Ovis aries: one gene and its partners. The protein of the gene in region 1 interacts with the protein of each later gene in a pairwise test. Links are inferred from orthologs where the notes say so. Each region holds a gene or a part of one and is shown in the gene's direction. Other genes may lie near its edges.

What was found.
Region 2: the proteins of CDR2 (region 1) and C17H4orf46 interact in binary tests that used the Homo sapiens proteins (3 or more experiments, as listed by UniProt). The two-hybrid records come from large-scale screens. The link is inferred for Ovis aries from reciprocal best matches to the Homo sapiens genes CDR2 and C4orf46.
Region 3: the proteins of CDR2 (region 1) and TCHP interact in binary tests that used the Homo sapiens proteins (3 or more experiments, as listed by UniProt). The two-hybrid records come from large-scale screens. The link is inferred for Ovis aries from reciprocal best matches to the Homo sapiens genes CDR2 and TCHP.
Region 4: the proteins of CDR2 (region 1) and TBC1D22B interact in binary tests that used the Homo sapiens proteins (3 or more experiments, as listed by UniProt). The link is inferred for Ovis aries from reciprocal best matches to the Homo sapiens genes CDR2 and TBC1D22B.
Region 5: the proteins of CDR2 (region 1) and PKN1 interact in binary tests that used the Homo sapiens proteins (3 or more experiments, as listed by UniProt). The link is inferred for Ovis aries from reciprocal best matches to the Homo sapiens genes CDR2 and PKN1.

Annotation. Positions count from the first base shown.
Region 1 is NC_056077.1:20,582,024-20,587,947, reverse strand, and holds the start of CDR2 (cerebellar degeneration-related protein 2), read left to right. Parts: upstream 1-1,963; 5' UTR 1,964-2,290; coding exon 2,291-2,369; intron 2,370-2,513; coding exon of another isoform or gene 2,514-2,597; exon of another isoform or gene 2,598-5,924.
Region 2 is NC_056070.1:40,563,444-40,569,286, forward strand, and holds the start of C17H4orf46 (renal cancer differentiation gene 1 protein), read left to right. Parts: upstream 1-2,049; 5' UTR 2,050-2,287; coding exon 2,288-2,470; intron 2,471-3,731; coding exon 3,732-3,887; 3' UTR 3,888-5,843. Other genes in the region: ETFDH (electron transfer flavoprotein-ubiquinone oxidoreductase, mitochondrial), read right to left, coding at 1,586-1,619.
Region 3 is NC_056070.1:63,503,538-63,509,203, reverse strand, and holds the start of TCHP (trichoplein keratin filament-binding protein), read left to right. Parts: upstream 1-2,289; 5' UTR 2,290-2,402; intron 2,403-3,851; coding exon 3,852-4,045; exon of another isoform or gene 4,046-4,056; intron 4,057-4,893; coding exon 4,894-5,104; intron 5,105-5,666. UniProt on the Homo sapiens protein: Tumor suppressor which has the ability to inhibit cell growth and be pro-apoptotic during cell stress. Inhibits cell growth in bladder and prostate cancer cells by a down-regulation of HSPB1 by inhibiting its phosphorylation.
Region 4 is NC_056073.1:11,234,329-11,239,521, forward strand, and holds part of TBC1D22B (TBC1 domain family member 22B), read left to right. Parts: intron 1-2,066; coding exon 2,067-2,374; intron 2,375-4,753; coding exon 4,754-4,933; intron 4,934-5,006; exon of another isoform or gene 5,007-5,193. UniProt on the Homo sapiens protein: May act as a GTPase-activating protein for Rab family protein(s).
Region 5 is NC_056058.1:9,645,549-9,651,477, reverse strand, and holds the start of PKN1 (serine/threonine-protein kinase N1), read left to right. Parts: upstream 1-2,149; 5' UTR 2,150-2,163; coding exon 2,164-2,202; exon of another isoform or gene 2,203-2,312; intron 2,313-3,306; coding exon 3,307-3,610; intron 3,611-5,929. UniProt on the Homo sapiens protein: PKC-related serine/threonine-protein kinase involved in various processes such as regulation of the intermediate filaments of the actin cytoskeleton, cell migration, tumor cell invasion and transcription regulation.

The DNA of each region.
Region 1 (5,924 bases):
TAAAACTCTGACTTGACTTTACTATAGCAACAAAACACCAAAGAACATGAATAGTAAGTGTATCTTTATAAGCAGGAACAAAGGATTTCTGAACCTGGTTCTTCTTTAATACAAAATGCTTTATATAGAAGAGTTTAAAAGTAGCAAAATGGTGTAATGATTAGGCTGGGAACATGCACTAAATACTGGTGAATTATTAAATGAAAACCCAAAACCCTTCTTTCAGAATCAACTTGGGTTGTTATTGTTAACCTATTGCTAAACCAAATAATAATGTTGCTGAAGAGGCTGCTTATGATTGCTTCTCAGCTATGACTACATGGACTCTAAATAATGATGGAGACCCCTTGAAAGCAGGGAGTTTAGCACTGAAAGCTAACTTGTCTTTCTCAGTGCAATTTTTGTTCAAGCTTTTCTGGGGCAGGGGCGGAGGGTGGAGAAGTTCCCCCAGTGTTCTTAAAAAGAACGCACTAATACCAAAAGGCATAAAGTCTGGTGTGTTGGGTTTTGTGTGGACTTAAAAATCATCAATAACTTTGATTCTTCAGATCGTTCTTTTTTGTTGTTGTTTTTTGAAGAATGCTAAAGAACATTTCAATACAGTTTCCCGTTTGATTTGGAGTCAAAATAAGCTTTTGCCATGGGGAAAGTGTTAGCACTTTCAGTTACTAGTGACTATGAAAGATGAGTTTCTTGAAGGTCAGAGGCATGATTCTGGCTCTTCAGCTTCAACAAATCATCATCAGCAAATCCTAAATCCAATCATCTCTCTTTCCAAAGAGCTCTATCTGTAGTGACTTGTAAATTAAGATAGTTTTAGTTATTTTCTTTTGGCTGTGGACTAATAATACCTCTACCAGAATAAGGGCAGTTAGGGCAGAATAGTCAACCTAGTTTCTTTCTTAACCTAACAATAAAAATAGATCAGTAACATTTTACTTTTTAGTGTCCCTGGATTTAGAAGAAATGTGAGTTTACCATTCCTCTTTTATCACCTCTGAAACGACTGTTCCTTCTAAGATTACTGGCTGGAATTCCACAATAGCTGTCTTCTGTCAGCTGTACCTTCACCATTACATCAAGGCTAAGAACACTGACTTTCTGATCTGTCACCTTATTTTAGAATTTTTATGTTTTGTCTGCACGAGGATGGTAAAAGCCACAACCTACGAGCAGTATTTATTTTGTTGTATGCAGAGAACAGCTTTCACTATCCTACTGGCCATCAAGGGCTAGGGCTGCAATCTCCTCTCTCCAGGTGGAACATCATGACTCCAGATGCTTAACAGGTGATCTCTCTTTTTTAAAAAAGTATGCAAAAACGCTTGCAAATTTTTTCTCAGAAGTCGCTTCAACTGCACCTTCAGGTGGGTCTGAGGCCCACCGTTTCAGGGGCAGTACAAATTCTCAGCGATTTGGAGGTGAGGGCTCAGATATCAAGAAGAAAACAGTTAACTGCCCTGAACTTCCGATCGATCCTCGATTTCCCGGCATCAAGCAGAGCAAATCTGGGAGTCAGAAGACCAGCAGGGGTCGGCGGGGCAGCGGACCTCAGGGTCCCGGCACGCCTCGCGCCTCCCGCCCTCCCGCAACCGTCCGCTGCTCGTAGACCGTACTTCTGATTCTCACGCCCACTTAGCCCGTCCACCGGCCATGCAGCCGGCCACCCACCACAGGGGAAGCGAAGGCCACTACCTCCTCACCCCAGCGCGCCGAATGCACGGCCAGAAGCGTTTCGAAGGGAGAAGAGGGCGGGACCCTCGGCCGCACCCCTTGTCCTTTTCCCGCCTTCTTTGTTTCCTTAGGAGTCACCATTGGCTGCCTGCCTCTGATACCGGGCGAACCGCGGGCCTGCGGCGAGACGCGATTGGACGAAGTCGCCGCCGCTCGGCCGGCGGCCTGCTCGCGATTGGCCGAGGGGCCGCCGGGGGTTTGAATCGCAGCCCCGGTCGGGGAGGGTTCTGCCAAAGTGCCACGTTGGGCCCGGCTGCGGCGTGAGGAGCCGGCTCGGAGAGCCGACTCAGGAGCTCGCGCCGGGGTGCCGGCCGTTGGGGCGGTTGGGCGGCGCGAGGGAAGCCAGTCCGCGGCGTGCGCTGCGGGCCGCCCCGCGGCGGCGCCGGCGGCGGCTGTGGGCGGCTGTGGTCAGGCGTCGCGGTGGAGCCTGGGCGGCGGCGCGTCCCGCCCGAGGGCGGCTCTGGCTGAGGGCGGAGGGGCCGGGGGAGAGCCCGGGGCAGCGGCTGAGGCGGGCCGGCGGCGGCGGGGGCCGCTGCCCCCAGAAGAGCCGGCCGAGATGCTGGCGGAAAACCTGGTGGAGGAGTTTGAGATGAAGGAGGACGAGCCGTGGTACGACCACCAGGACCTCCAGCAAGGTGAGGGTGCGGTCGCCAGGCGGGGCCTGGCCAGGGCAGGGCGGCTGCCGGCTCGAGGCTTCACCTCCTGGCCGCGAAACTGTTAAAAAGTTTATTTTGCTCGGGGCCCACCGACGCCAGGATCGGGGAAGATCTGGCGCTCACCTGGCGTTGGGACTGTCGCGTCTGCTGGTCCTGCGCGGGAGGACTCCGCTGCGCGGGCCCGGGCTCCTGCACGGTAATCAGCATCCCCCATCGTCCCCGCCACTACTGCGTGTCAGGAGCTGACCGGGCGCCAGGCAGCGTTTGGAGCTCTCTCTGGGGATTAACTCATTTAATCCCCAAGGTGTTCCTCGGAGCGGAGAGGGGTGGCCCCTTACCGGGCTGTCCGCGTCGGGGAGGAACCACAGCCGGTGCTCATAGCCGGCGAGTGAGCTGCTGCAGGTGGTGGACCCGGGGTGGCAGTGCCGTGTGGCAGGAATCGCGCACATATTTGATCCGCACAGTAACTCCGTTGAGAGAGTAACTCATATTATTCCCCTTTTCCAAATGGGTAACGCGGATGCTAAAGCGGCCAAGTGACTTCCCTCAAATGTGGAAGCAAGTCTTTTTTTTTTTTTTTTTTTTTGACTGATTTTGTTGGAATTTAGTTGATTTACAATACTGTGTTAGTTTCTGCCATAGGGCAAAGTATTTTTGAATCCGCACACTCAGAATGAGGAGTCGTCCTAGTCGCTGCTCAAACCCCTATCTCTTCTTCGCCACCTGGCTTACAGCTCTTACAGTTGGTGTCAGACGGGCTGAGAGGGGGGCTACATAGGCGTAGTTTACCAGATGCCAAGTAAGTGAATGACTTGAGGGCACTTGTGCCTCACCTGCTTCCTTCACTTTGCTCCCTAGCTTTTTCACAAGAGGCATTCCTATCTTGGCCTGTCCTGGATTTCTTGTCTCCTGAGAAATGTTTTTCAGGCATCTTCTGTTCCAGCAATTCTGCGTAAATCAACTTTTTCATCTCTCAACTGGCATAAAAAGTTACCATCTCATTTAGTTGAACATTAAATGACCATGGTGTTTGTTCATGCTAACCATTGAACTTAGCCGGAGGGGAAGAATGTAGGCTCGAAAGACTCAGAAAAGAAACATAAGGAACTCTTTTGGGGGAAGGTGATTTCTTAAATCAATATATTGTGGCTGGTAGCTTAAATCAAAGTTTATATAGCCTTTATATAAGTCAAAGTTTATGCTTACATAGTCTAACCTATTCAGTGGCTGTACTGCAGTATTTGCCATCATATTCACAGCATACACAAGGCAAATTTGTCTTATGTTTTAACCTGTTTTCAGAATGCCTCAGAGGGATTGATGGCCTAGTTTGATACTTTCTCCAGAATTTATGAGGCAACCATTTTGCAATTGCAACCTTTCCCTATAAAGAAATGAAGCAGTTTGCCCTATAATCATAACTAAATAGTTTTCTTTATTGTTTTTAGAAAGTGTAGCTCTGTACAGTTTTTTTTTTTTAATCTATCTAGCACAATACTTAGCACATAATAGAAACTCAATTTTACCATTTGTTGACCTGAACTGAGGCACTCACACAGGATTATTGTTTTCATGTCTCTCTTCCACCAGGCACGTTAGTCTACGCTGCAGTTTCCCCTGTGGGAGGTTGTTAGGAACAACCACTTGTAATATTTCAACTTACTGAGGAGCAAATGCAACATATAGAGGTTAGACGTGGAACTCTCTAACCTCTGATTGAAATCAGTCATCAGGTGTGCAGATGTAATGAAATCTTGAAGCGCACAGGTCCAAACTTCCTGTGCCAGTTTCCGTTTGGAATTTGGTCTGTTCTTTTCAGAGGACTTTTACATTTGTTATCACCATGGACTTTGACATAACCCTGTGTGTCATAACCAAGTGTGTGGGGTAGGAATAGATGTGAAATTCCAACAGTCACAACTGTGAATTTGGCCTGTGAAAGAATGAAGGCTTCAGTGTGAATAGAAGGGTCTCTTTGTCCCACTCTCATTACATTATATGTTAACTCCTAAACTTCTAATGGATCGTTTGTTAATTTTTCAAAAATTGTATTTATTCTGTGCCAGGTGTTCATTGAGGCATTAGGACTACAGTGCCTGTCCACAGGACAGACAGGATCCTACTCATTTACTAGGAATCTGTTGACTGGAGGTGCTGCCTTCTGGTGTGCCCACTACAGTGCTTGGCAGTGGGTGGGCCCTCGCCCTCCCTAGATAATTTTGCTGCTGTGTAAGGTTTGGGAGCAAGTCTGTCCTCTTGGGCTGATAAGCAGATCTAGTGGGATTTTATCAGGTGCAGACACATGTCTGTTCATTTTTTAACATCCTCACTATTAATTTCACTGAGAGCCTTACTTGAAGAGAGTTGCTAAAACAGTTTTCTGAGATCCTGTGCTCAGTCATAGAACTACAATTTTTTTTTCTTTAGCAATAGAAGCATTACTTAAGTAGATTGAATCTCTTTACCAAAGTTTGCTTGGGGCATTCTTTGTAAAAATTAAAATTGTTGAAAGTTTCTAACCTCAGAAGGCTGTGGTCTACCATTCATACCTTGTTAGAAACGTGAAACTGTGCAGGCAGAAGAAGAAAACCCGTTGCTTTTATAAAACACTTTCAAGAGAGTGTCTTTTGTCAGAGGGCTGAGTTGACAAAGTAAGAATACTGACTGTGATCTCTGTGAGTAAGATCCTTTCTGGGACAGCAGGAGCCTTCTCTGTAGGTAATGATGGTGCTTGCTTTGAAATGTGCCCCTGAGAACAAGGTGGAAAGACTTCAGAGACTGGGTTTTCTTTTAGACCAGCTGCCGTTGTAATTGTCGTTTGGCGAGCTGTGCAAGCTTAGAGTAAGGATTCAGGTTTCTACTGTATAGATCAGCAAATGAAATCTTAGTTTAAATTAAGATTTCTACTTTATAAGATGAGTACCTTTTTCATATGAGCAATGAATTTGCTGAATCACTGTTTGGAGGGTCATTAAAACTGACACCGTCATTTTTCTTGATGTTTATATTCAGATTTTTTGCTTTCCCAATTATAGTAACATCGGCAACAGGAGTTACACAGAAGCATCACCAGATGACGCATTTGGTTTTGTAGTAGGAAAAACTTTCAGCCTTAACGTTATTGAATGAATGCTAGAGACTACATCTAACATGGGAATATGCCATCCTCTTTAAAGAAAAAAAAAACTGAAGAAAAATGTAAGAGCAGTGAAATTTAAAGATTTCAGAATTCTGGAAGGAAGATCTTTTTTAAAAATCACCTGACTACTAGAGTTAATTTTTTACCTAGGGCATAGGGCTGAGTAGACTATCTGTTTAAAGCTAATAGTTTATATTGTTAAAATAGATTATTATCACTTGCAAAGACTGATTAGTGGAAGAATATGAAACATGAAGGTATTGAAAGTTGCAGTTCTCAAGCCTGCAGTAAATCTGTGGTATTTTTAGTGGTTGCCTACGCCAGTTCAATAGGATTTAGAAAAGACAACCTCTTAACGAAAATCCTTTTTGTAAAGTGAGATGAACAGGTGTATA
Region 2 (5,843 bases), on another chromosome or scaffold:
ATTAATGTCTTAAGACAATTTACATACAGATTAACTCTACACAGAATAATTGTAACAGTGCAACTTCAGACATGGGAATAAACGACATGGGAAAACATCTCCTGGATCATAATAAACTAGTGAGACAGGCACTCCAGAGAATTTTAGATTATCAACAGGGCCTGATCCAAAAATAACACATTGGGTGGCCTATCAACATAATCTTTGCCTGATCTAGGAATGAACCTTCCTAGCACCAAGGGACAAAAACTGGTCATGAAATGACTCCCAAATGTTGGTCAAATTTATGACTTAGAGGAGGCACTGTGGACAAAGAATATCACCTGCTGTATCAGTAAACAAAGGATGTTGTGGCCATCAGGCTCTCAGCTACTGCAGCCGTCCCTGACTGTGTACTCTGAAGGCATTCAGGATGGAGAAACGCAGGACACTGATAGATAGATAGTGGAGATGCGTATCAAAGGAATGATTTCAATGAGCCCAAACTCTTACATCTTCCCATACACAGAAAAGCACTAAATTCATTAACTTGAGATATATTTTTTTAATTAGCAGTAATCTTTTGATGTTCCAACTACCTATTTTGTGTGTTTCAGCTTGTTTGTTTTTTTGCAAAAACTCCTATATATCCTGGCTTCTACAGAGCTGTCCCTCAGAGCTATCTTAAGAGGCTGTCTCCTAAGCGCTCCCTGTGCCTGCTGAGTAAAACACAATCCTCAACCTTTTAGGTTGTGCATTTTTTTTCAGTCAACAGTATTTACACATTAGGTGTCATAAAACATGCACCATAACAGAAACTTTAAATTCCAATTATTTAATACATGGTGGACAAATCTGACAAAATTCTACTTTTTTGAAATTTACACAATACCCGTGAATTTGCAATATGTACACTTGTTTATTCTAGAACCAAAATTTAAATAAACTACAGAAAAAATTAAGTCAGTCTTGAGAGATATCTTGGAGTAAACTTTTTTTTAACTGTTTTTAAGGAAAACAAACAAAAACCGTCCAATGACATCATTCTACTTTTTTTCTAAGGTGAAAGGGGAGGTAATGAGGTATTTTACCAAATCATCATGATGGTTTTAGGGCAACCATAACACGATACGCTGTAGAGTCAATTTTAGACAACACAGAAAAATTCCCGGCTCCAGAGATAACCTGATGACTTGGGTACCATATAAATGTCAACGTGACAGAACAGAGTTCAAATTCTTAAGAAAGGAGTAGGACGGCTGCAAGACGCAAGTCAGGAGAGGACCAAGGAGAAAATCTGTGTAATAGCTAATTTACCCATTTTCCAACAAGGCTGTTGCAAGTCTAGGACAACATCTGGGCTTTGGGAGGAGGGTCAGCACCAGGGTTCGGGGAAGATTCCGCTCGGGAGCCGCGTTGACAAGTTTCCTCCGCCCGTGACCTCTGCCCTAGTTGTCAACTTTTTCAACAGGGACAAGCCCGGGGAGGAAACCAGGATCCACCTGGCGCTGATCGCGCGCCCTTGCCCGAGTTCTTCCCTAGCGAGGCGAGCCCGGACTGCCCCGCGACCTTGCTCTGTCAACCCGCGCCCGCAGACCCCGCTCACCCGGGCAGGCCAATCTGGCCAGCAGCACCTGCATGTTCACAGCAGACAGACAGGACGCTGGCCGACGCCGGGGAGGAGGTTGGGCTTGGCTCGTACGGGCGCGGGACCTCTAAACCACTGGGGGCGCCATCGCCGGCCGAGACGCAAGCAGTCACCACCTGCCTGCTCCGCGGAACGCTCCAGCTTCACCACGCTCCCGCCTGTCTTGCTATGCGCGGGCGCCCCGAGTGACGCGACGCGACGCCCGCAGCGTTTCCGGGTCACGGACCGAAGGGGCACGGGAAGGGACTCAAAGTCCCAGCGCCGCCCGCGGCTGCAGGCTGCACGGCCTCTCACCCGGCGTGCGCTGAGAGCGCCGGAATGGTTGGGGAGTGGGGGGCGGGGGGACCACAAATCCCAGGATGAATCGCGCGCAGAGCCCCAAGACTGTGAGGCGTAGCGGCGCGCACGGCACCTTGGGAGCTGTGGTCTTCTGTTCCGGCGTCTGGGAACCCGTTGGGAGGTTTTCCCCCGGAGCGGAGAGTAGCCTCAGGCGAACTCATTGGCATCTGATTGGCTGTCCCGAGAAAGTGACACGGCTTCGCGGTCCCCGGCGGAGAGCCGAGAGGAGGCGGGCCCGCTGGGCTTTGGGCGCGAGCGGTTGAAAGACGGTTGGTATTGGTTCGGCCTCCCAAGTCCGGTCCAGTCGCCCAGCCGCGCTCCATGGCGAACCCTGAAGGGCTGCAGGTTTCCCCGCCGCCGCCGCCCCCTTCTTCTCCTTCTTCTCCAGACACGTCTTCAGCATCTTCCCCCGGCGCCCCAGGGGGTTTGGGCTGGCCTGTTCCGAGCAGGAGCAGCGGCCGACTGGTGGACCCGCTGGAAGAGGTGGAGCTGCAGATCGGAGACGTGAGTGCGGCCGGCGGGTCCGGGCCGTGTCCCGCACGTATTCAAGAGCCGCGTCGGGAGTCCAGGGCATCCCTCTCCCGCCGCGCCCGCGCGGGGTCTTTGTGCCTGGAGGTCTGGTTCCGCTCTCGCGGTGTAACCCGAAACGGCGCAGTTCACAAACCCACCGCCCTGCCTCGTCTGCGGGGCTGAGGGCCAGACAGGGATTCCTCTGCTGGGACTTGATCCGTCTCCCTCCCCCTCGCCCTGTTTAGTTGGCCGCCTGCCCAGAGCCTGCTGGGTAGGCGATGATTATTCTGAGCGGACCCAGTTAGGATGGGTTAGTCCCCGCCCCGTGGTCCAGATTGCTACCCCTAACAATACAAAGACCCGTCCCTCTGATGGCCGGGATTCCTGGTCTGGACGGCTTCTGTTGAGTCTCCAGTTAGTAGACGCGCGCGTACACTCACAGCCACCCAGCTACACAGTCGGGTTTCTCGATTTAAGGTCAAGTGAATGAAGTCTGTAGGGTGTCGTCTTAACCGGGAGATCCTCCTGTGCAGGTTGCAAACCGCGGGGTGAACTCCTTTATTCTCTCATTCCTCAGCAAGTATTTGTTGTTTTAAAAAGATGGCTGAAATGCTGACACAGCTTCATCTTTGCTGAACCAGGCTGTTCCAAATGAGCGTGTAGAATGCAGTGCTGATATGTTTGTTACCCAGGAACAGTGTTATTTTATACGGTGGGTGAAGAAAGCATTTGATCAAGAAATGAGTTTTCCACCAAGGTTGCAGTGTTTTCTGCATGGGTGTTGTTTTTGTTGGTGTTAATTGTGAGCTCAGAGTGTCTGTTCTTTGGTTCATACGGTTTCATGGTCTGCAGTGTTAAACAGATGAAAATAGCGGAGCAAGTCGCTCCCTCCCATCAGTAAGAGCTGTATCATAAGTCCTTCAAATACTTCTTGGTGTCAACGGGCTCAAGTCGTCTTGTTGAGCTAAATGAGACTAGTGTATTATCACCCGAAAAAGATGCTGACTGGTCATGTCTCATACATAATGTATATCTTTCTAGTAGACAGATGTCCTCAAAGCTTACTTAATGTAGACAATTTTTTTAGGTTCCACTAAAGAGCTGGCATGTCGTAGTTTGAAGATTTTTAACTTTTTAAAGAAAAGAACTTGGGCATTGGATTCTAAGCTATTTTCAGCCAGGTTCATAAAATAGGGAGAGAATTTTAAAAATAAACATATAGTTTTACTTTTTTTTTTTTTTTTTTAATTTTCAGGCAGCATTTTCATTAACCAAACTTCTGGAAGCCACATCTGCAGTATCAGCTCAAGTGGAAGAGCTTGCCTTCAAATGTACAGAAAATGCACGTTTCCTTAAAACATGGCGGGACCTCTTGAAAGAAGGCTATGATTCCTTGAAGCCTGATGACTGACTTGACTGTAATAATGCATACCTCCTCATCTATGATGTTTGCGCATGTACCATGGAGACTGGATGATCGCACGGTTCTGGATACTTAAAGATGAAAATTTTCTTGGTTTTCTTCATTTTGTGAAAACAGAATGCTGATGTTATTTTTGAGGCTGATTCATATTTTTTTATCTTTAAACACTTTCTGTTCTCTGAACTTTCAAAGACTCTTTTATGAAAGTTAATCAGTAGGTAATAATGCCACAGTGTTGCCAGTAGCAAACGAGGTGAACCATTATGCTCTTCTATTTGCAAGAAGATGCCAAGAAGAGCAGAATTTGAAATTGAGCTTTATTTATGGCCCAAAGAAAGTAAACTTTCATGTTACCAATGTTAGATTTAGCTCCACTGGGCTAAGTTCCCTAGAACCAATGATTGTGTCTTAGTTGCTTACATATTTCCAGCAACCTAAAACACTGTTACACAACAGTCACTAAATGTTTGTTAAATAAGAGTTGACAGCATAATTAAAAGCTGCTTTTTCTTTTAACTTTAGCGTAAAGATGTTAATTGTTTCTTGAAAAAGTATTTGAGTCAGAACTTCACTGACTTTAAGGAAAATGTTATCTTTCTTTTTTTTAACAGGAATTTGAACTTTGATAACTTTTAAAAACACATGATAAATATTTTTCACCCCTCTGTGATGCTTTTCAAAAAAACTTTTACTGAAGCCTGTCTTGAAAAAATACGTATTTTTTTCCCCTCTATTTCTGAGGTTAACTGCTTTTATGGATATTTCTTATATTCACTGTTTTGTATGTTTAATTGTTCTCCTTAAAGTGCCTTATCAAAATTATGGCTTTGTAGTATTACTTTTGGAGCTTGGCAGGTAATAATTTTAAATTCTGAGTGTAATAATTCCAAACAAGTACTTTAAAAAAATGCATCAAATTTAAATGATGTAATTGTTTTCATATTATTTGATCTTCATGACAATGCTCTGTTTTACTTGTCTCATATGTTGTGCACACGCGCTCTCTTTTGGTGAGTTTGTGTCATATGTGTCGGTGATTAAGCCAACTAATTCTCTGTTGTGTGACTTCTGGACATATCTGATGCAGTGTCTTAATTCTTGTAGCTGTGGAGGTATGCACAGAACAACACTTCCAAGCCCCACAATGGGCCTGTGAAAGGGGACACATGGATGGGCAAAGGATAGTTTTATTTAGCATATTAAGTCATAGTTCTTGATTAATTTTTTATGTTAAAGATAACACTTGTGGTGTGTTGCTATACCAAAGAGATGCTTATTTTGATGTTAGAAAAATATTTTTCTTTGGTGTCATGAAAATTGCAATTTTTAAAATCTATAAAAATAAGCTTGTTCAAAGCAAATGTTATTTTCATTTCTTCAGGTTCCTTATTTTAAAACTTTACTGAAATATTTCAAACCTAAGAGGAAAGGTGAATCACTTAAAGAACACCCATGTATTTCCACCATGCAGATTTAATAAATGTTAGCATTTGGTTATGTTTTCTTTAGATCTATGAATATATTAATATGTAAGTGTTAGATTCATTTGAAACTTATTTTATTACCTTTTGATTCCATCCCTTTCTCCCCGGAGATAACCTCTGTCCTAGAGGGATTGCATATTCTAGTTTGTGTTTTTATGTTTTTAACGCACACATGTGTTACCAAAACACTACAAAGTACTGTCTTGAAACTAATATTATTGACTGTATGTCAAATAAAAAAATACTATTTTCTGTGTGTAGTAACCAGCCTCCAGAGGGCCCCAATGGTCTTCTGATACTCATTTCTTATAGATAGTCCCCAACACTGAATAGTGCTGCCTCGTGTAAGTACAGGATATTGAGGAAATGCGGTGTGATTTCGCAGGTGATACCTTTTGCCCAATTTTCTGTTTTGTCTTTTCCTTATGGATTTATAGCTATTACATATTTTCGATACTAC
Region 3 (5,666 bases), on another chromosome or scaffold:
AGGCCCTGGAATCAGACAGAGCTGGGTTCAGGCCTGGGCTTACCACCTACAAGCTGTGGTTCCTTGGGCAAATTCCACAACCTACAAGCTGCAGTCCTGTCCCAGAAGATAGGCCAGAGGGTATGGCCTGGGGCCTCAGGCTTCCAGGACAAGGTCAGTCAAGCCCTAGGCCCTTGATCCCAGCAGTTGAGCTTGTTTGGTCCTTTAAGGCCATTATACAGATGAGGCAACTAAGGCCCAGAGAGTGGAAGGCCCTTGCCAAGAGCTGCAAAACCAGGACCTGAAGGCTCGTCTCCCACAGCACAATTCACGCATTTCTGAAGTTCCTATCACACTCAAGAAGGCCTATCAACAACTATTTATTTTAATCAGGCTCTTTTGCTATGTGGATGGCTCTGGCTGGGCTGAGGAGAGTGGGTGGCTGCTTCCCTTCTCCGCTGTGGACACAGGATGGGTGACTGGCCGTGAGCTTGGCCCAAGGGGTTGGGACCAATCACAGGCTAACTCCAGAGGATCTCACGCACAGGGCAGGGCAGGTTCTGAGGGAGATGTGAGAGGGACTTCCCTGGTGGTCCAGTGGTAAAGACTCTGTGCTTCCACTACAGAGGGGGGCAGTGCAATCCCTTGTCAGGGAACTCAGATCCTGCATGTCCTGCATGCTGCCAAAAAACTAGAAAAAAAAGGGGGGGAGGTATGCGAGCGCATGCTCTCCTGAGATGCACCAGGTGCTCTGCTCCCGAGGCCGCTCCATTTAAACTTTCATTTCCTCTCATGAGGGCAACTGTAGAAAGCAGCCCTGTCGGTATTCTTATTTAAAGCTAATCTGAGGCACAGTAAAACTTTCAAGACTTGCTGATCGGAATCAGGCAAAAGAAAGGTGTTCAGAACACTCTACCGGCAGGATCTAGGAGAGGTTTTTAGAAAGAAGATGTGAAAGCAAGGAAATCGTTTGATTGGCTGTAACTTAAGAGGTTGCCTTGTTTGGGAAAGCCCAGTTGGCTGTTTGTGAGTGCTAAATTTCATTTTCTCCAATTTGGGTGCTTTGGCTCTGGCCTAGGTTTAGGTTGACCTGCATCGGCTACGGAGGTGTCACAGCCTTCCCAGTCTAATGGGCTCCTTTTTCAATTACTTGAACATTCTTATTTCACGGATGAGGACACGGAGGCTCAGAGTGACGAAGTGACCTGTCCAGACCACACGACTGTTGTGGTGGAGGCTGCAACAGAGGTCACTCTGTTCAACCAGACTTTATACTGCATCCAGGGAAAACAGAGAATTGAATAAAAGAAGGAAGCGGGCGGGCGGGCCTTCCCTGGTGGTCTGGTGGTTAAGAGTCCAGCTTGCAATGTAGAGGACCCAAGTTTGATCCCTGGTTGGGGAACTAGGTTCCCACATGTGGCAGAGCACCTAACCCTACAAGCTACAACTAGAAGATGGGAGTGCCCGCGACTAAGACCCCAGGCAGCTAAATAAATAAAATTTAAATAAAAAAAGGAGGAAAGGGTGAAGGAAAGAATAAATGAAGACAAAAATGGGAAAATGAAAAGAGCCTGAATAAAAGAGTTAATACTTTTGCTTTTCATTTATTTTTGTCACACTGCAGAGCTTGTGGGATCTTAGCTCCCCAATCAGGGATTGAACCCAGGCTCTCGGCAGTGACAGTGGGCTGTCTTAACCATTGGACTGCCGGGGAATTTCCAATCTTTTAATTTCATTTTTTAAGAGAATAGTTGGTACATAGAATGATACACGTAGCATGTGAGTTATAAAACATACTAACAGAAGGAACACCCTTGAACCCACCACCATCCTAAAACAATAGAAAGTTGCCAATAGCTCGAACCTACTTATATCAGCGGTTCTTCGAGCTGGCTACACCTTGAACACACCTGAGGGGCTTAGACAACCACAGAGTGCTCGATGGGGTTTGTCTGGAGTCCGGTTTGGACATCTGGATTTTTCAGAGCTCTCCAGATGATTCTCTTGTGCAGCCAGGTTTGAGGGTGACTGGCTTATAATTCCCTTCCCTATTATATCCCTCTGATTTTCCCCGACGCTCACCTGCCTCCCTCAGGTAGCCATCATCCTGAATTTGGTGTAGTGAATGGATTCTTTTCCTTAGACAAGCGATGTCTGCGATTGAGCTCCCGCCCACCACGAGGGGGCATCGGAGAAAAACACAGACTTCTTTTCTTGCTCTGCGCGCCGAGTAATCGCGCTGCAGGAGGCTTGGCCCTCGCGGCGCTCCATCGCCGGCCCGTTGCCTCGGCAACGAGCGGGGAAACGGCCGGCGTAAGTGCAGCGCTGTCGGAGAGGGTCGCCGTGGCCCGGGCAGGGATTATTTGGGGCTTGCGGGACCTTGGGCCGGGGCAGTCTTGGGAAACTCCGGCGCGCAGAGAAACGTGAGTCGGGGGTTTGGGCTCGGTCGGGGGCCGGCGTTGGGGTCTGGACCCTCAGAGCTCTGCCGCAGTCGGCTCCGCGCTGGCGGGAAGCGCGCCCGCCGTCCCGGGACGCGATCGCGGGGCGCCCGGGGCTTCGGCTTCCAGTCCTCACTCGGCTCCCCGCGCGGCCTGGGTCCGACCCTTTCCTCTGTAATCTCTTTTGTTGTATGTGGCTGAGAGAGGGATGCGACTTGTTCAGAGAGCCTCCCAGCTTGTTGTTGATGGTTCATCTGGGGCCGGAATCTTCACTTTCCTCAATCCTCGTGCAAAGATTTATCCGCAGGCGGCCTATGGGGCAAAGAAAAATGTCTGTCAGGCCTGCCACAGTCTGAAGACAGATTTGACCTGGCAGTCTCAGGCTAAGCTTGACTCATAGACGCAGATCATTTTCCTCCCGGTTCGGAGGACTCTGAGTTTGTTTATTTGCCAGAAGCTCCTTGAGCACTGTCACAGCCAGGCACTGTGTAGACCCTGCACCTGGGGCAGCTTTTGGACCGGGAGTGGTTGGGGGGAGATGTCCGGAGAGACTGGTTCTGCTTTCGAGTCTCCGCCCGTGTCCCCAGATCGCCCCCTTGACCCGTGCAAATTGATTCTTCCCTCTGGGTGGTAGTTTCTCCATCTGTAAGAAGGAGGGATCTCCCTCCATGCTCATCCAGAACATTACCAGGTGTGACACCTGGAGATAGCAACCCACTCCAATATCCTTGCCTGGAGAATACTATGGACAGAGGAGCCTCGTGGGCTACAGTCCATGGGGTTGCAAAGAGTGGGACAGGACTTTGATTTCAGCAAGCGACTTTCATTTCACTTCACAGCCAGGGCATGTTGGTCCCAACAAGTACCATCTTGCAGTCTACAGAGCTTGGGCCCTCATCCCAGGCTAACATGAATTAGGCTCCCAGCTCCTGTTTAAATTTCCTCTGCTTCCTGGCTTTGTGATCTTCAAGTCATTTTACCTCTTTGAACTTCAGTTTCCTCAGCTGCCAAAAACAGCAGGGTGCTAGTAACAATGAAAAAGGTCATATAAGTCAAGGGCTTGGCCCACATCCGCATGCCTGCAGTTATCCTCTCTGTTACCTTAGGCAGAGCGCAGAAACCCTCCGTGTGCCAGTCCAGTGTCGTCAGCACTGGCTCCCTGTCTCTGCACTGCCCTTACTGATGTCAGGCTCACAGCTGGGTGCAGTCCAGGCTTCTTCAGCTAGATGATTTGGGGTCCTGGTAGCAAGTCATTTTTAAAATGCTGGTGCCTGGGAGCCTGCACTGAGATTTTTTTTTTTTTACTTAATTGGTCTGCCTTGGGGCCCAGGCTCTACCAGGAGATCCCAGTGTGCAGCCCAGGGTGAGGACCGGGCCTCAAAGGGGTGAGGAGCTGCAGCAGGCTCCTGTTCTTAGCGCTGCTGTTCTCCTCAGATGGCACTCCCCACGCTGCCCTCCTCCTGGTGCAGCCGGCGGCTCCCAGATCAGCAGGCCGCCCGACAGCGCCGCCAGGAGCAGGAGGCGCATCTTCGGCAGCAGTGGGACCAGAACAGCCGCTACTTCCAGATGTCCGACATCCGCAGCTCCAAACAGGCAGAGTGGAGCTCCAGGGCCTCCTACCAGCGGAGGTAACTGTGCGGTGAGCACCTTCCCTTAGGGCTGGAGGGCCACCTACTGCCGGGAGATGTGACTGACTCAAGGACCTGGGGGAGGGTGGCTGGCCGGCGTGGATACTTGCATGGAAATGTGATGATTTCCGTGGATACTCGCATGGCGATGTCTTTCCAACTGGAAACTGAAAAGAAGGTCAGCAGTGAAGTAACACATTTGACTGAAAAAGATAAGATGATGAGACGTGTATGTAGAATCCGGAAGTCCCCCGGTAGCCCCATTTCCCCAGGAGAGAACCACCGTGAACTGTCTGGTCCGTAACCTCCCGTACACTTCTTCATCTGTTTTTGTGTGTAAATATAGATACAAGCATACACCCATTTTTATAGAGAGAGATACATACGAAAACACGGAAGTTAAAAGCATGGGCTTTGAAGTCACACAGACCTAGATAGCAATTCTGACTATGGGCTTTGGAGTCGGACAGACCTAGATAGCAATTCTGACTGTGTCACTTGCTGTATGAATGAGCCTCAGTTTCCTCATCAGTGAAGTGGGGCTAAAACAGAACCTAATTTATAGGATTTATGTCATGACTACTATAAAAACCATCCAGGTTATGTAGTACATGGTAACTACTCAGATAATATTACCATGTGCATAGATACGCCTCTTGTACATTTCCTTGCAAGAACAAGATTCTATTATGCATAGTGGTTCTATTACCTGGCCTGTTCACTTTGGCTGGAGGACGCCTTCCCAGGTCACCATGTTCCATGTGTCTCAGCCTGTCACCCACACAGCCAGCCATGTAGCCCCTGTGCAGCTGGAAGCATCCAGGCTGATGGTGGCCCCTCTCGCCCAGCATGCATGCTTACCAGCGGGAGAAGATGAAGGAGGAGGGCAGGAAGCGTCTGGAGGCCCGACGGCAGAGACTCAGGCAGCTTCTGGTGGAGGAGCAGGACTTGCTGGCCAGACAACTGGAGGAGCTGAGGCTGAGCATGAACCTGAGGGAAGGGAGAATCCGGGAGCAGCACGGGAACCTGAAGGCGGCCCGAGAGGAGCAAAGGAAGCTGGTAACTCCGCGTAGCTCTTCAGCAGGGTGCGAAGCCCGAGTCCCCGGCCTGTCGGTGAGGCCACGAGGCGTCTCCCTCAGGGGCCGAGATGGCAGTTCACTACAGAGCCAGCTGAGAAAAGTGCTGACTCTGAGTCGTTGTTCGTGTGTATTTTCCAGGAGTCATCTTTATTCTCTTGGGCCCCTTAAATCATTATATCTGAGTCCCTTTTCTTTATTCTAGTTCTCTGGTCCCATGAAAGGCTGGGACTGGTGTATTTTAACTTAACTTCCAAAGTAGTCCTGTGTAGTGGTGGTCTCTAAGCTGTGTTTTTAAGCCTGCTGTATATTTTGAAGTAGATCTTTAGCATCTAGGACCCATTTGTAGCATCAGATTTTGGCCCCTTTTTATCACCATTATAAGAGTCATTTGTGGGAACTCCCTGGTGGTCCAGTGGTTAAGACTCCACGCTCACTGCTGAGTGCCCAGGTTCAATCCCTGATCACGGAACTAAGATCCCACAAGTCGTTTGGCGTAGCCAAAGAAATGAGTCATTTATCAGCACCTGATTGGTGTCTGTTGA
Region 4 (5,193 bases), on another chromosome or scaffold:
GCTCATGGTATGTGTTTTGCTAGATTTGTTTTCCAAAAGGTGGTACGACATACACCCAACCTGTACTATTAGAGAGCTGGTCTCACTACATCTGGGTCAGCACCGAGAGGATACGTCTTTGAATCTTTGCTAATTTAGTGGATGGAAAATGGTTTCTCGTTTCTGTCACGTTTGAACTGTTACATTGTGTAATCTCATGTTATCTCTTGCATCTCGTGTGATAAGTTTTCCTTTACTCTGTGTGAGGCCAGTGTTTGAAAATATGCCTGTCATATCTTACTCCTTTTTTGGTGTTAGTAATAGGGTCATTCCGATGAGCTGTGGGAGTTAGCAGTCTGTCTTTATCAATGCTAACAACAGTTATCTTTCAGAATGACTGTTGGACATATCTTGGGAGGTGTCATAGGTATTAGACCAGACTCCTCTACCTAAAGGGAAGAATATCTCTTGGAAATGGGGGACTTCAGCTCTTCTGCCGGAGCCTGGTTTTTAAACTAGAGTTTCCCTGCCTTGCCGAGGGAAATGGTGAGGCATTTTAATGATGTTGCATTCCAGTCCTCAGGTGTAAATTTACATGAGGCTGTATTCTTTGATTCCCTACTTGGGGTATGAAGGATGTTAGATAAGACTCAGTTATAGAAACATCCCAACCACATAGTCCCCTGGAACCAGATAAGGGCCACCAGACCTTAAGGGATTCACAGAAAGAGGAAAACTTCAGGGGGACTTCCCTGGCAGTTCAGTGGTTAAGACTCCATGCTTCCACTGCAGGGGGTGTGGGTTCAGTCCCTGGTTGCGAAACTAAGATCCTGCATGCCACATGGCACAGCCGAAAAAAAAAAGAGGAAACGTTCAGGAAAATTGGACTCGGCTACCTGACTCTTGGGACTAGGCTCTCTTTCCTCAACAAGTTAATTCAGTATTTCTCAAACTCAAGTCATGTACCGTCTTCATGACTTTTTTGCAATACTTTATACTATTATTTATGAAATGCACTTAAAAAAATAAACTTATGTACTCAATTAGATTTACTTTTAAAATAAATCTTACTAGTTCTGTAAGTGGAAAACCAGTATCATTTGCCCCAAATAGGAAATAACCTTAGAAATACAGTGAAACATTAAACAGTCTTATTAATTAAATTCTAAGCCAGATTGTGTTGCTTATAAAATGTTGAACCTGAGGCTGCCCTCACTTTGTTAAAAAATAATCCTAAAGATAGAGTGGGGTCAAACTCGGATCCCTCAAGGGCCACAGGACTTCAACAAAACAAAAAGAGAACAACTTCTGCATTTTGAACCTCAATGTTTAATAACAATACACGTGGGCTACCTAAAATTATCTCCTGTTCTACCAGTAGTCGATGTCCTGCTCTAGAAAATATTTTAGGGTATGTTGCCGTAACAGATTAACTCTGAAATCTCAGTGGATTGACACAACAGATGCTTATTTCTCACTCATGCTTCCAGACCAAGGGAGGGTAAAGTGGCTGTGGAAGGCGGGCTCTGCTCCACCTAGTCGCTCTGTCATCCAGGCTGAAGGAGGTGCCACCACCTGGAGCCTCGCCAGTTATCACAGCAGAACAAGGCTTGCGGAGAACTCACCCATAGGACTTCCTGATGGCCCACTGCACTTCCATTGCAGGAGGCTCAGGTTCGATCCTTGGTGGGGGAGTTCTGCATGCCACATCGTTTGGCAAAAAAAAAAAAAAAAAAAAAAAAAGGGAGAACGCACCCTTGTTCTTTACACTTTGGCTCAGAAGGGACGGCCTCACTTCTCTCCTCAGCCCGTTGGCCAGAACCAGAAGCCTCACCTAAGTGCAGGGCCTGGGATGTACAGAGGAGCACGTGGAATATTTGGAGAGCGATGCTCTCTTTGTTTCATCTGGTTCTGCAGCATAGTGCTGCTCTAGACGCTTCTAGATAAGGAGTGGATGTGGATATTTTCTATTTGAAGAGGGTAATGATTGTGTATGAGATAATTTGTAATACTATTGATAATCTGTTAAGAGAAAGTGGCTGGATATGTCAGACTGTTCCTTGGTAACAGCGTCTCCTTTCTTAAAGCTTCATTAAAGAACGGTCAAAAGTCAGCACAGTTCCTCTGAAAAATAAGAAGGCCTCCAGTTTTCACGAGTTTGCCCGGAACACCAGTGATGCTTGGGACATTGGTGATGATGAGGAAGAGGACTTTTCGTCCCCTGCTTTCCAAACTCTGAACTCAAAAGTTGCCTTGGCGACTGCTGCCCAAGTGCTGGAAAACCACAGCAAGCTGAGGGTGAAACCAGAACGGTCCCAGTCAACAACATCCGATGTACCTGCCAGCTACAAGGTCATAAAGTCCAGCAGTGACGCCCAGCTGTCCAGAAATTCCAGTAAGTCCGTCCAGCTCCCCGCCATAGGCTCTGCCTTTTCAGCAGAGCGCATTTTAAATAAAAACAGGTTCTGGTGGGGGGCATCCCTTAGATTGTCCACTGGATGATAAATAAGTGAGCTGGAGCCTGAGGGCCCTCAGGGGGCCTCACTGGTCAGGAGCTGTGCTTGCTCCTCCTGCCTGGATGGCTGCCTGGCCCTGGGATCCTGGGCTTCACTTTGGACACCCCTGTGTTGCCTGCCCTTCTCTCCTTCCTTTCCCTGTGCTGGGGTCCAGAATGCTTATGGTGTGGCTGCTTCACATTTCTTTGGGCCTGGTCAGGTTGAAGTGTGCTGACAAAATGTAGTTGAAGTTGTTAGTGGCAGAATTTCAAACATGTCTGGTACCGTTCCTCTGTTCTGGGGAAGAGCCCCTAGCAGCAAGTCGTTTCTCTGCTGTTCCTCAGGAGCGGAGTCCCTGTGTCACAGCTCCCTGCCTGCCAGGTCTGGGTGGGGCAGGAGGAGAGCCCACCTTCTCTTCAGGAAACTGGCAGCACTAACCGGTTGAGATGATGGTGGTTTTATGAGATGCTTGGAGACACCTCAGTTCCATTGCTATGTCTGCTGCTGCTGCTAAGTCACTACAGTCGTGTCCGACTCTTTGCCACCCCATAGACGGCAGCCCACCAGGCTCCCCCGTCCATGGGATTTTCCAGGCAAGAGTACTGGAGTGGGCTGCCACTGCCTTCTCACTGCTATGTCGAATGTTGCCCTAACGCATTTTATGGGAGTCAGTCGTTCTGAGCTGGAGGGGGAAGTGCCCTCATGCTAGTGAGAGTTAAAATAGCTGACTGTGGTAAAGGGTGAAAAGGAAGTGGGATGTCAGGCCGTGGCGCGTGTCCTGGCTCCTGTTCTCGGAGAACTTCTTTTACAGTTTCAGACAAGGATGTGCTCCGGAAATGAGGCTGTAAAGCCTGGAAAATCATTCCACAGTCACTTCACATCTCTGATTTGGGCCCCAGTGACGTGCCCAGACAGGCATTCAGTGCCCACTGGCCAGGTGACCACAGCTCCTGGCTGTGGAAAGTATCTTCACATGAGACCAAGGGTCTTCAGAGGGTCCCGCTGTGAGGGAAGGCCCCACCATGGTCCCTGACGAGCTGCCCTTGTGCAGCCAGGACCACCCAGAGCACTCCTGTTACAGGGTTCCCTCCTGTGAGCATCGGTCAGCCAGTCACTGATAACCGGAAGCGGCCTTCAGTCTCAGCTCTGTAGCGTGTGGTCTGCATTTTCTCAGCCCCATGTCACACTAGGCATCCAGACCAAGTGCCCTGTGGCCGTTGAGTCTGTAAACCTCCTAGTGCCGGTTGATAAGGATTCCCTGTTTAGTTCTTGTGCTGACTACTTGTTAAGGCCCAAATATGTAAAGAATGTAAAACAGTCATGAAAGGATGGTCAGAATTTAAAACTGAGTTTTGTTTGGGGGAGTGAAATAAATAAGGGTTTTGGCGTCAGACAGACCCAAGATAACTCAGCTCTCCCTTGCAAATTTCTTAACCTCTCTGAGCTATAGTTCCCTCAAAATCGTGATAAACTCCTGCTGTAGTATGTTGTAAGGGTCAAGTGAGAGGACATAGGTAACTGTGACCAGCTCAGTGCCTTAGTAAGCAGTCAGTAAATGTTAGCGCTCTCCTGCTCATTTCTGCTAGCTACCATCTTGTTCAGAAGTGTCTAGAACCAGATATAGAGTTCAGCTTGAGTCCGTATGCCTGTTATTTCAGTCATATCCCAACAGAACTAAACGCCGGTTCATTTTGGTGAGAAATGTCAAAGCACAGAGGACCCACCTTAGGTCAGAGAGCCTCTCATGTGTGAGCCAAAAACAGGTGAGAGTTGTGCGAGGAATACTGGCCCTCTTAGCCCTCGGGGCAGCCAGCTGGGGCCTTGGTCTGCGGGAGAGCAGCCATCACCTTTCTTTTCGCGATGCGCTTTTGCAGTCATTTTCTATATGCTCTGAGACGAGGAAAGGAAAGGCAGATACTGCCTTTGACTACATTGCCCCCACCCCCAAACTCGCTATTAGACACCCAAGAAAAGTTCCAGGTTGGGATAAAAAGAAAGCAATAGATTTTCCCTCTGAAGTCACAAAAATTTGTCAGATTTGCTGCAGTAGCTGGAGTCTCTGCGCAGAAGGTGCCTTGGTATGTATGATAAACACGCAGCCCTTCCCCTGAGTGAACAGAGGGCGGCTGGGTTTCCACCCACTGGCTGGCGGCCTCGCCCTGGGCAACCTGGCAGCCGCGGCTGTGGAGGAGCCCCATGCCCAGCAGTCAGGTCTAAGTGTCTCTGGATCTGTGCTCGTCACACAGCCTGTCCTCTTTCTCTTTCAAACGACCCCTCAGGTGACTCATGCCTGAGGAACCCGCTCCACAAACAGCAGTCACTCCCTCTCCGACCCGTCATCCCGCTCGTTGCCCGCATCTCAGACCAGAACGCTTCTGGGGCGCCCCCGATGACCGTCCGGGAGAAAACCCGCCTGGAAAAGTTCCGTCAGCTTCTCTCCAGCCACAACACTGACCTGGGTGAGTACCGCAACCCCCCCGCCCCGCCCCGCCCCCGTGAGCCCTGGGCAAGCAGACCTCTCGGTGACTGGAATTCTCAGAGACCCGGAAGCTACTGCTCTTTATTCTTCCTTCTTTTACTTTTCCAGCATCTCCTGATCTGGTGCCCACTGAAGTGACACGCAGGTATCACAGTCAGACATACGTTAACTAGAAATCAGGGGCCAACTTAGGCGGGACTGGACTCCGTGGCCTGTAGAGCCTAGTGCACCATTGGCTTC
Region 5 (5,929 bases), on another chromosome or scaffold:
CCTGCGCCCTGGTCCCCTTTCCCGTCTCCTGCCTGCTCTCTTCCCCCTACCCCACCCCACCACCACCCTCACCCCGTCCTAGTCATTCCTCTCTCTCTCGTGGCTGCTTGGGTCTGCTACCCCTGTCCCTCTGTCTGTCCCAGTGTGTGTGCCTGTCTGTTCTGTGTCCGGCAAACGGATGTCCTGTCCGGATTCCAGAAACGCCCAATGCATTGAAATCTCCGGACATGGGGTCTAGATCCCTGGTCACTCTAGGAAGAGGGAATTTCTGAGAAGTGGACCCTCTGGACCTGGGGCAGGGGAGGTGTTTTCTGCTTCTTGGAGGGTGTTGGGGATTCCCCAAGGCCAGGCCAGGCTCCTGATTCATGGGTTCATCTCGTTGGCCCTCAGGTGACCCCTGCCCTGGATAGGAGTGAGTCATCCAAGGAAGGAGAACCCGGGAGGCCCAGCCTCCCTCTCTCCCTCCTTTGCATATTCTCATCCCTCAGCTGCTGGAGGAGGTGGGGCTGAGGGATTCTGCTCCTCCCCCCAAACCCGGACTCCCCTCATTCAAGCTGGCCCCGCTCCTGGCTGCACCGCTGCTCTGCCTGCTGGGGACAGGGTGGGGCTGGGTGGCCGGTGGGACCTGGTTGATAGCAGGTGGTAGGAGGTGACCCTGGGTGTAAATTCCAGAGCTGCCACTTCGTCACAGTGTGTCCTAGGCCCAGCGCCATTCCCTCTTTGAGCCTTGGTTTCTGCCGTCAAAATTGAAAAAAAAAAAAAAATGTAGCCAAGAGAGTTTTCACGGTGAGGAAGGACGTAGACCAGGTCAGCCCCTTGCAGGTAGGGCTGCTGTGAAATCCTTACCAGTGGTCATGGCCAGCAGCTCAGGGTGTGAGTCTGTGTCCTTTAATCCAGGGTTTCTAAAGCTCAGCACTATTGACATTTGGGGCTGAATCATTCTTGGAGGTGGAGGCTCTCGTGTTTACAGTGGAATGTCAAGCAGTTTCCATGAACTCAACCCCATAGAGCCTAGTAGCAGCCCCAGTTATGACAACCAACCCAGAATGGCTCTGGATATTGCCAGCTGCCCCCAGAAGTGAGGTGGGAGTGTTGGCAATCCCCTCCGCCATTGAGAACTGCTGCTGCCATCCCTCTGAGGCTCAGTCTCCTCACCTGTAAAGTAGGAGGGGAAATATGGCAGCTGCTCAGGATAAAATTGAGGGGTCAGTAGGATCATGGGAGTGACACTTTAGGCCTGAAGTAAATCTTCTCTGGGGGCAGCTGCCCTTGAAGTTGATCGAGAGTGAACCCTGACTTTCCTCATCTCTGAAATGGGGTCTCACCGTGGCGGCAGATAATATATGCGGGGCTCTTCCTGCCTGGCTGACAACTAGCTCTGATTCTGGGCACTCTTGTTGGAAATCTTAGTTCTGTCTCCTGCTGGCTATGAGGCTTTGGGCAAGTTAGGTCACCGCCCCAGGCCTCGGTTTCCTCATCTGGAAAACGGAGTGATAGTAGCACCTCCTGGAATGGCGTTAGTTGACCTGGTGTGCAGCTTGTAGTAACCTCCATGGTTCTTAATCATACTTGAGCTTAAGTGGAGACACTGGTACTCCAGCCCTGCAGAGCTGTCTCCTCATGATGTGGGCCTCAGGGAGGTACCGCAGGGCCGGCCGGGCCCCCAGGCCTCCAAGCTGTGGTCAGCAGCAGCAGGCAACCAAGCTGAGAAGAAGCCGGAAGTTGGGACAGGAAAGGGGCTGGCCCGCCCATGTAAGCACTTGTGGGTGTTGGTGTATATAAGTATATACAGGGGGTGGGGGGTGGGCACACACTGGCCAGCCTGTGATGCCTGTAGGTGTATAAGTGTGTTGTAGGGAAGCTATATGTGGGGAAGGCTGTTCTTCATGTCCACACTAGCGGGCCCGTGTGTGTGTGCCTGCTGCGTACACCTTGGGCATCCTCAGGACAGGGAGCAGAGGGGCCACCCCTGGGATGACCCCAGAGAAGCAGGCTCAGCCCTCGAGTGGGGGCTGAGAGGAAGGTGCTCTTGATGCCCCAGAGCCCCAGAGCTGGCCTTCGCAGGGGTTGCTGGGAGCCAGCAGGAAAGAGGAAGTAGCAGGCGAGAGGCCCTGGCAGGGCTGAGGTTCAGGAAGAGGGCGGGGCCCTCAGCCGGGGCCCAGGATGGCGGAGGCTGATCCCCCTTTGGACCCGGAGCTGGAGGTGGGGGCTGGGGTCCTTGTGGGGGAGGGGCAGCAGAAGAGGACCCCAAGTGGCACAGGCCGGAGGGGCCCTGCCCTCGGTACCGCTTGGTTTTGGACTGAGGAGAGGAGGTGGGATGCTGGCTTTGGAGTTTTCTGTTTGAAAGATGAAACTGTTTGGGGCCCTTTGAGCTTCCAGGTTGGGGGGATAGAGGAGGAAGGGAACAGTGCTCTTTTCTTTGGGGTCCCAGTTGTAGATGACAAAAGGAGGGGAGATGGCGCTTGGCCCCCGGATCTCCAAGTTAGGGGGTACAGCAGGGAACAGACAAAACCTGTCTCCAGGCCCTCCTGGTTTGGGGTTACCGCAGGGAATAGACAAGGCCTGGCCCTGGGTCCTCCTAGTTTGGGGTTACAGCAGGGAATAGATGAGGCCTGTCCCTAGGTCCTCCTAGTTCAAGGGTACAGCCAAGAGGAGAAGGAACTTGCTCTTGGAACCCCAACCTTGTGGTCTGGGGGGCATCACAGGCCTGCCCTTGATACTTCCTCATTTGGGGAGCAGCAGAAGGAAGATGAAAGCTGCCCTCAGGCCCTCCTAACGTGGGGCATAAGGGAGCAGAGATGGGGCCTGCCTTTGGGACCTCCTAGTTTAGGGGGGCAGCAGAGGGGAGAGGGGGTCTCCCCTCAGGACCTGGTCATTTGGGGGCAACAGAGGGAGACAAAGCCTGTTCTTGGGCCCCCCTAATTTGGGAGGACAGTGGAAGGAGAGCTAGGGCCTGACCTTGGGGACCCCGAGCTGTGGGGACCCAGTGATGGGGCAATGGAATCTGCCCTGCAGGATCCCACTGCATGAGGACAGTGAGGGAAGACTGAAGTGTACCTGTGGTCCTCTTGTCTGAGGTGACAGGCAAGGAGAAGGCCCTGCCCTTGGGACCTCACAGTTTGGAGGTGTCAGGAAGCAGGCACAGGGCCTTGTCTCACCTCCCAGTTTTGGGGGACTGTCGGAGGACATGGAGCAGGGCCTGTGTCAGTAGTCCCCCCCCAGGAGGAGGCCGGGCCAGGTCAGCTGAATGTGGTCTGCACTGCCAGAGCCGCTCTGGCCCCACTGACCCTGCTCCGTCCCCCGCAGAGTGAGCCACGCAGCTGGTCCCTGCTGGAGCAGCTGGGCCTGGCAGGTGCCGACCTGGCAGCCCCTGGGGTACAGCAGCAGCTGGAGCTGGAGCGGGAGCGTCTGCGGCGGGAGATCCGTAAGGAGCTGAAGCTGAAGGAGGGTGCAGAGAACCTGCGGCGAGCCACCACTGACCTGGGCCGTAACCTCGGTCCCGTGGAGCTGGTGCTGCGCGGCTCCTCACGCAGGCTTGACCTGCTGCACCAGCAGCTGCAGGAGCTGCATGCCCACGTGGTGCTGCCCGACCCCGCGGTGGGCGTGCACGGTAAGCCAGGCTTCCCTGGGCTGGGGGGTGGGGGATGCGGGACTGGGGGCCTCCACTGCCCAGGGCTCACCCACTGTGTCCCAGGGTGCGGCCGGCCAGCCCATTGCCACTGCCTCCCAGGGAGACACACTCGGTCACGGCAGCTTCCAACCTGAAAATGCAGGTGGCTGCTATCACTGCTGACAAGTGCTCAGTCGTGTCCAACTCTGTGTGACCCTGCGGACTGTGGCCCGCCAGGCTCCTCTGTCCAGTGGAATTCCCCAGGCAAGAATACTGGAGTGGATTGCCATTTCCTTCGCCAGGGCATCTTCACGACCCAGGACTGAACCTGCATCTCTTGCGTCTGCTGCATTGGCAGGCGGATTCTTTACCAGTAGTGCCACCTGGGAGGCCCCAATACAGGCAGACAAAAGGCCCAAACCAACACTCAGGGAAAGGTACACACAGTCACACCCACAGCTGGGCAACACCAAAGGCTTACACGGTATCACACCAATATCCAGACTCACAGTCACACCCACACCCGGACAACACCAAAGGGCTTACACGGTATCACACCAATATCCAGAGTCACAGTCACACCCACATCTGGACAACACCAAAGGGCTTACACGGTATCACACCAATATCCAGAGTCACAGTCACACCCACACCTGGACAACACCAAAGGGTTTACACGGTATCACACAAATATCCACAGTCACAGTCACAATCACACCCACACCTAGACAACACCTATAGGCTCCAACTGATTAAAAAATTTTTTTAATTGTGATTAAAAAAACACAACACCTGAGAGTATAACAGCGTTGTTAGTTGGCTGTTGTTACTGCTTCCGTTTAGACCCCATGTTTGTGACCCCATGGACTGCAGCCTGCTAGGCCCCTCTGTCCATGGGATTTTTCAGCAAGAAGACTGGAGTAGGTTGCCATTTCTTTCTCCAGGGTATCTTCCCAACCCAGGGATTGAACCTGCATCTCCTGCTTAACAGGCAGATTCTTTACCACTGAGCCACCAGGGAAGTCCCTTAATCACCTATATTCCAATATAAAATAAAACGTTTTGGAAAAAAACACATTACAGAAAACGTATCATTTTTAAGCATACAGCTCAGTGGTGTTGAGTATTTTCACATTTTTGTGCAAGGAATCTGCAGAACTTTTTCATCTTACAACTAAAAGATGTAACACACATCACATCAGTAGCCAGAGACCCTCACACACAGTCACGCCAGCACCCAGACTACTCTGAGGGCCCACCCTGTGGCTCAGCGGTACAGAATCTGCCTGCAGTGCAGGAGATGTGGGTTCGATCCCTGGGTCGAGAAGATCCCCCAGAGAAGGGAATGGCAACCCGCTCCAGTATTCTTGGCCTGGGAAATCTCATGGACAGAGGAGCCTGGCCGTCTACGCTCCATGGGTTGCTAAACAGTCGGACGTGACTGAGTGACTAAACAGTAGCAGCATTATTCTGTGAATACCCAGAGACGTCCATACTGCCAGCCAGTGCCCAGATAAATGCATACGCAATCACACCAACACACACACAAAACCTGAGGACTCACACACGCTCACAGCAACACCCAGAGATTCAGACACACAGAGCCGCTGCCACAGGAGTTTACCAACCCATAAACAGCCTGATACTTAACACAGTCAACTGGACAAGACCTGAGACTCAGCATCACTTAGCCCAACACCCACACACCTCTTTGGTGTGTCAATAGCTGGAGGCTAACACTATCAGACGGAGAAGGCAATGGCACCCCACTCCAGTACTCTTGCCTGGAAAATCCTATGGATGGAGGAGCCTGGTAGGCTGCAGTCCATGAGGTCGCTAAGAGTCGGACACGACTGAGCGACTTCACTTTCACTTTTCACTTTCATGCCTTGGAGAAGGCAATGGCAACCCACTCCAGTGTTCTTGCCTGGAGAATCCCAGGGACGGAGGAGCCTGGTGGGCTGCCGTCTGTGGGGTCGCACAGAGTTGGACACGACTGAAGCAACTTAGCAGCAGCAGCAACACTATTGGATCAACACTTGAAGATAATGAAAGAGTTCAGCCAACGCTCAAAACCTCATCCTGTCACAGCTGTACCCAGAGTGCCTCTGATGGTCATACCACTCTCTGGAGATTGACACAGAGCTGTCCAGAGACATACATGTCCAGCTGTTCCAGCACTCGGATGCTGTCACACCAGCGCCAGGAGATCTGAATGCTCAGTTCTGCTGACAGTTGCAGACGTGCACAGAGCCATCCCCATCACCCAGAATCTCACAGAGGCATTCTAACACCTCACATCTCACAGTTACACTGGCA